Linked DNA regions of Callithrix jacchus. The main gene of each other region encodes a partner of the protein of the gene in region 2 in a complex. Links are inferred from orthologs where the notes say so. Each region holds a gene or a part of one and is shown on either strand. Other genes may lie near its edges.

Region 1 (3,749 bases), on a different chromosome or scaffold from region 2:
AAGTGTCTTACCCAGAGCATTTAATCTTTAAAACAACCCTAAAAAACAAGTTTTATTATCTCACGTATTCATAGGAGAGAAAACAAAGTAACTTAACCAGGGTCACACAAGATTCAGCTCTAAATCTACTTTCTTTCAATACTCATGCTTTCTCCACTACACAAAATGTTTTAATTTCTTTCCTTCCAGTGTATGCATACAATTATGATAATGCAGACATTTTAGAATTATGACTAAGAAGCATACAAACAATGCTTCTGGGTCAAAGTTGGTGAGTTTGTTGGCTGGTTTATATTTAATTTTAATCCATCACGATTTTTGTATTCTCTGATGTATACTTCCCCTTATGGCCAGTCAGTTGCCCAGACACAGGTACAATGTACTGCAGATACTCTAAAATGATGGAAATGCCAGTCTTTGATGGCCAGGGACAGTGGCTCATGCCTGTAATCCCAGCACTTTGGGAGGCTGAGGTGGGTGAATCACCTGATGTCAGCAGTTCAAGACGAGCCTGGCCAACATGGTGAAAAATTAGCTGGATGTGGTGGCGCATGCCCACAATCCCAGCTACTCAGGAGGCTGAGGCAGGAGAATCCCTTGAACCCAGGAGGCCGAGGTTGCAGTGAACCAGGATCACACCATTGCACTCCAGCCTGGGCGACAGAGCAAGATTCCAGTCTCAAAAAAGAAAAAAAGAAAAGAAAAAGAAAAAAGATGCCAGTCTTCAGGACTCACTATTACCAATGGAGGTATGTGGAATGGCGCGGTGGCAGCTACATTGATTAGAACCATTGTTCTACCATACAATTTCCCTGATAATATTCAGGTACTTAATTTATGTGACCTGCTAAAAGGGATAGGGATAAGCATGATGTTGTTCACAGGCAGAGGAACTGAAAATAATATTAAAGAAAGATCAATTCAGGTAAATTTAGCTGAATTTATGGAGAGAGTAAGGTTGAATACAGCGATTAAGGTTTCTAAATAACTGCAGGGCTGGCTGGGTGCAGTGGCTCATCCGTGTAATCCCAGGACTTCGGGCAGCTGAATCACTTGACCTCGAGAATTTGAGGCCAGCCTGGGCAACATGGGAAAACCTGTCTCTACCGAAAAGAAAAATGAGTCAGGAGAGGTGTCACGGGCCTTACTCCCAGCAACTCGGGAGGCTGAAGTGGGAGGATCACTTGCGCCCGAGAGGCAGAGGTTGTAGCGAGCTGAGACTGTGCCACTGCACTCAGATCGGAGTGACACAGTGAGACCCTGTCTCAAAAAAAATAATAACTGCAGGACTGTAGTTAACGTGAGTTCCGTCTGAAGTGCTTGGTACTCTCCTCTTTTCCTAATATACACTCCTCCTGTAATTTTCTATTCTTGCTCTCACAGAACATTGTCCAAAACATGCTTATAGGACTTAATATGCATATTGCCTTATAGTTAAACGTCTGTGTCTCCCACCAAGACCAATCTCTTTGAGTTAAATTTAAGTCTTACTATTGTATCTTCAAATTTTGTATTTGCTTGTTGCCCAGCACAAAATGTGCATTCAAAAAAACCCAAAAAATATGTTTCCAAATGAACTTTCTTGTTGGAGGTAGGCAAGATCAATGTAACATTCTCTAAGGATAGTGCTGTCAGAAAACACAAATTGTTGCACACTACATGGGTAGCAGTTTCACCTGGTCCTCGGCTCATTCTGCTCTGGAAGTCTGGTTTTTTTCTCTCTCAAAGGCCAAGTCTCTCATTTCCAGACTCATCTCAGTAGTGTCGTCATCTAGGAAGATTTTCCTGATTCCCTCCTGTGGAACTTTGCCTCTCTCCTCTTTTTTGATACTCTATATACATGCTGTGGTGAACAATTATACTTAAGCACCTAAAACATATTATTATTCTCATTTGTTAACACGTCGAGCTCCTCCCCTTCAAATAACACACACAGCCTGAACGAACAAAATGTACTGGTTGCAAGATTTTATTCATCTATTGGACCACCAATGGTGGGGGTGTTTTCAAAAAGATGCTAGCATTTTTAATTATGGCGACCATCTCCAGAACCTTTCAAGTCCCTTCAGATGCACTGTTAAAAAATTATAATTACTGTAGGTTCAACTTTTCAGTTTGTGACAGGATTAGCTTTAATTTATAGCAATTCTCTTTACTTTATAAAACCAACTTGGGCCTCCTATATTCTTAAGCTCCTATTTCCTTCGGGGAAAGCAGTGGCCTCCGCCCCCTGCACACTCTCAAGCCTACAGAAGCTCGGCTCACCCCACACCACCCGGCCTCCCCTCGCCTTCTCCACGGACTCTAGGTCTCGCTCCCCTTTCCTAGCACCGCGTGCCGTGGGCCTCTTCTCACCGTCCGGCCGAAATTCGAACTCCAGAAACTCGTGCCCAAACTTGCCCTTGTGCCCTACGTAGTAGCGCAGATAGAAATCGCTAGCCATAGACATTTTTGTCCCTGCTAAGCCCGCCGAAAACAGACACAAGGTATCGCCCGGCGCCTGGCAGTGACGTCATTGCGCGGAATACGTGCGTCACCACAGGCGCCGCTTTTCCTCGTTCGGTGCAGCCCTGCCGAAAAGCTGGAAGGCCGAGTGTCGCTTGAGAGGCCGGAGTCACCGAAGGGAGGGTCGCAGCGACGTGACTTACGCTTTAAGAGGATTGGAAGCACACTATTTTCAAAATAAGGATTATAGTATATTAGCAAAAACTAGAAATCTGAGCATATGATAGTCTTTTTTATGGATTTAGAGCTAAGGTTTGCAAGTCGCTCTTACTTTTCTGGTCTCCCAGTCTGGCATCTGTGAGGTGGGTGTGGCTTCATGCGCCTCTAACTGTGAGCTAAATAAAGATAAAGCTTAGAATCGAAATAGCAGACTGGGAGTATAAACCGTTTTTCTTGGTTTCTAACAGGGTGCTTTCCCCTTTGGATAATGCTTGGTAGTTACCTGGACTATAAGCCTATAATAATAGAGACAAAGTCCAAGAAATCTATCACACGAAAGAGCTGAAAGTCTTAGACACACAGACACGCTGGTACACACTGAAAAACCCTGACAGTTATAACAGCTACAAGTCTATAATAATAGAGACAAAGTCAAAGGAATCCATCATACGGAAGAGCTGAAGTCTTAAAACACACACACACTGAAAAATCCTGACAGTCACCGTGCTTTTAACAGCAGAACTTCTAAGGTTTTTCATGCATTCAGTAAGGGTTAACTTTTAGTAGCCTGTGGAGTTTTGGCAATTTGATTTAAGATATAATAAGGATATTTAGCCCACGTTTCTCGCCAGGTGGAATTAAATTGGAGGCATGAAAGAATGCTCCATTGTGGGGTGGGTTTGAAGGAAAGGAAAAGACTAAAGTCTGTTTTTCAAATATGATTGATCACCCTTTTGTTACCAACACACAGAGTAATCCTGTCTGTCGGTTGATAACCTTCAATGGAATTTAGTAAAAAGTAATGAGAAGACCTGGGATTCAATCCCAACACTTACAGCTTCCTAACCTTGGGCAGGTCACTATCTCTAAGCCTGTTTGTTCATCAGTCTTATGCATATAGAGCAATCTACTTTGTCAAATTCACAGAATTCTTGAGAGATCAAATGAGAATAATATGTAAAATAAGCTTTAAATTTTATAAAACAGCTTTTAACAAACATTTCCTATGTGACAAAAAGTTTGAAACTAGAAATGAGCCATTTGCACTGGTAGTCTAGAAAAGAAAGCAAATATGTAAGGCAAAT
Region 2 (3,649 bases):
TCCCGGGCAAGAAGAACCCGAACCAAGGTTGGAGATGCAGTCAAGCTTGCAGAAGAGGTGCCCCCTCCTCCTGAGGGGCTGATTCCAGCACCTCCAGTCCCAGAAACCACCGCAACTCCACCTACTAAGACTGGGAACTGGGAGGCTCCAGTGGATTCCACTACAAGTGGACTTGAACAAGATGTGGCACAACTAAATATAGCAGAACAGAATTGGAGTCCCGGGCAGCCTTCTTTCCTGCAGCCACGGGAACTTCGAGGTAGGTATCATAGGATTGATGGCTAGCTTTTTCCCCTTTGCATCATCAGGTTTAGGGGCATGGGACTTCTGTCTCAGAAATATGGTGTCTGATAAATGTCTACTTCTTTTTTTATTTTTGAGACGGAGTCTCCTGCCTGGCTCCAGGCTGGAGTGCAGTAGCGCAATCTTGGCTCACTGCAACCTCTGCCTCCCAGGTTCATGCCTCAGCCTCCCAAGTAGCTGGGACTATGAGCACATGCCACCATACCCAGCTAATTTTTGTATTTTTAGTAGAGATGGGGTTTCACCATGTTGGCCAGGATGGTCTCGATCTCTTGACCTTGTGATCTGCCCACCTCGGCCTCCAAAGTGCTGGGATTACAGGCATGAACCATCACTCCCCGCCTACTTTTTCATTGACTGAGAGAAAGATGCATTCATAGGTACATTCATGAATTTTGCTCTTGACACCCAGTGTGATCTGATGTGCAGTAGCACAGTCTCAGCTCATTGCAAACTCTGCCTCCCAGCTAATTTTTGTATTTTTAGTAGAGATAGGGTTTCGTCATGTTGGCTAGGCCGGTGTTGCACTACTGACCTCAGGTGATCCACCTGCCTCAGCCTCCCAGAGTGTTGGGATTATAGGCATGAGCCGCCATGGTCAGCGAAAATAGGGTCTTTATCTTCTAGAAATAAGGATAAGAATATTGATTTGTGGCCGGGCGTGGTGGCTCACGCCTATAATCCCAGCACTTTGGGAGGCCGAGGCGGGTGGATCACGAGGTCAAGAGATCGAGACCATCCTGGTCAACGAGGTGAAACCCCGTCTCTACTAAAAATACAAAAAATTAGCTGGGCATGGTGGTGCACGCCTGTAGTCCCAGCTACTCGGGAGACTGAGGCAGGAGAATTGCTTGAACCTAGAAGGTGGAGGTTGCGGTGAGCCGAGATCGTGCCGTCGCACTGCAGTCGGTAACAACAGCGAAACTCCGTCTCAAAAAAAAAGAATATTGATTTGTTTGCTTTTCAGTTCTATGTTGTGGTAAAAGTTTATCAATAAATGTATTCCTAAAGAGTAGAAAATTAAAATGTAGCAGGGCACGGTGGCTCACACCTATTATCCCAGCATTTTAGGAGGCGGAGACGGGTAGATCAGGAGGTCAGGAATTCAAGACCAGCCTGGCCAACATAGTGAAACCCTGTCTCTACTAAAAATATAAAAATTAGCCAGACGTGGTGGCATGCGCCTATAATCCCCATTACTTGGGAGGCTGAGGCAGGAGAATCACTTGAGCCTGTGAGGCAGAAGTTGCAGCGAGCCAAGATTGTACCACTGCATTCCAGCCTGGGTGATAGAGCGAGATTTTATCCCCTGGGGCGGGGTGGGGGGGCGTAGAAAACATACCATTCAGATCTTATCTGCGCTGCTGACAGGGTGTGCCATCACATCCAACTAATTTTTGTATTTTTTGTCGAGATGGGGTTTTACCATGTTGGCCAGGCTGGTCTCAATTTCTTGACCTCATGATCTCCCCACCTCAGTCTCCCAAAGTGCTGGGATTACAGGTGTGAGCCACTGTGCCCAGCCCCGACTAATTTTTTTTTTTTTGAGATGGAGTTTTGCTCTATCTCCAGGCGGAGTGCAGTGGCGTGATCCCGGCTCACTGCTGCTTCCATTTTCCGGTTTCAAGCAATTCTCCTGCCGCAGCCTCCCGAGTAACTGGGACTATAGGCACGTACCACCATACCCAGCTAATTTTTTTTGTATTTTTAGTAGAGATGGGGTTTCACCATGTTGGCCAGGATGGTCTCGATCTCTTGACCTTGTGATCTGTCTGCCTCAACCTCCCAAAGTGTGGCTAATTTAAAAAAAAAAAATTTTGTAGTGATGAGGGTCACACTATGTTGATCTTGCACTCCTGGGCTCAAGTGATCCTCCCAAAGCGCTGGCATTACAGGTAAAAGATACTGCACCTGCCCAGTTGTCATTGAGCCTCCTGAGTACAGGATCCTTTTCTACTCTCTGTAAAAAAAGGGTAGTAGTCAACGTTATTATTTGCACTAATGGTAAATGTTTGAAGGGAGAAATTTATTCAGTTGAATTTTGATCAAGATCTTCTCTAGTATCTTTGAAAGGTAAGCCTCCCTAATTTCCTTAATCTTCTAGAGACAGATCATCCAGTAGAACTTTCTGTAGTGATTGTACTTTTGTGTTGTTATTGTTCTTATTATTTATATATAGAGATACAGATTTTTTTTTTTTTAAGATGGGGTCCCACTTTGTCACCTAGGCTGGAATCTGAAGTACAGTAGCGTGACCTTGGTTCACTGCAACCTCTGCCTCCAGGGCTCAAGCAATCCTCCCATCTCAGCCTCCTCAGTAGCTAGGATCACCTGGCTAAGTTTTTTTTACTTTTTGGGGAAACAAGGTCTCACTGTGTTTCCCAGGCTGGTCTTGAATTCCTGGGCTCAAGCATCCTCCTACTTCTGCCACCCAAAGTGCTGGGATTACAAGCATGAGCCACTGCACCCAGCTGGAATTGAACTTTTAATTTTAATTAATTGAAACTTAACTGACCACATTTGGCTTGTTGGTGTCATACTGGGCAGCATAGTTTTAGAGAGTAGGCCCAACTGTTGCCCATTTTGCCTATTGTAGTTTGTCTTCTTCTAGCCAGACAGATTGAAGGATCTTTTGTTAGTCTGAAATCTAACTTAAATACTGGAACTCCTCATTTGGAGTTGCAGCACACTTCTCACCATTGGAAGACAATCTCTAGAAACATTCCTTTTGTTCTTGAGTCATTTTAGCTAGCCAGAGGAGAATCTTCTCTCAAGCTTCCAACCTACAACAGCTCTGTGAATGGGGTATAACAAGTAGATTTACAAAGCATCCCTCCCTTGTCCAGCTGTTGCTCAGAAACTCTTGAGCTGAGATTTTTCAATATGTCAGATAATGTAATGTGCTAATTATAATCTCCCAGATGCAGAGAACAATTTGATAGGAAAAATTTGAACTTGATTTTCTTCACTGAAGTCATTTTTCATGTTCAAAGGCTTTATTACTATATTAAGATGGCAGACAGTGGGGACAAATTTCTAAATGCTGATGTTGACAGCAGAGATAATTTATAGAGAATTTTATTAGTTAAAAGAAGAAAGCCATTTCCCATGTGGACACTTAAACCTGTCATTTTCAGCCGGGTGTTGTGGCTCACACCTGTAATCCCAGCACTTTGGCAGGCAGATCACGAGATCAAGAGATGAAGACCATCCCGGTCAACATGGCAAAATCGTCTCTACTAAAAATACAAAAAATAGCCAGACGTGGTGACACATGCCTGTAATCCCAGCTACTCGGCAGACTGAGGCAGGAGAGTCGCTTGAACCCAGGAAGCAGAGATTGCAG

The links. Proteins that work in one complex are often made in the same cells at the same time.
Region 1: CASC3 (region 2) and MAGOHB share a complex: the UniProt entries of both Homo sapiens proteins name them as parts of the mRNA splicing-dependent exon junction complex. The link is inferred for Callithrix jacchus from reciprocal best matches to the Homo sapiens genes CASC3 and MAGOHB.

The regions. Positions count from the first base shown.
Region 1 is NC_133510.1:12,487,848-12,491,596, reverse strand, and holds the start of MAGOHB (protein mago nashi homolog 2), read right to left. Parts: upstream 2,527-3,749; 5' UTR 2,450-2,526; coding exon 2,356-2,449; intron 1-2,355. UniProt on the Homo sapiens protein: Required for pre-mRNA splicing as component of the spliceosome. Plays a redundant role with MAGOH in the exon junction complex and in the nonsense-mediated decay (NMD) pathway.
Region 2 is NC_133506.1:71,774,632-71,778,280, forward strand, and holds part of CASC3 (protein CASC3), read left to right. Parts: coding exon 1-259; intron 260-3,649. UniProt on the Homo sapiens protein: Required for pre-mRNA splicing as component of the spliceosome. Core component of the splicing-dependent multiprotein exon junction complex (EJC) deposited at splice junctions on mRNAs.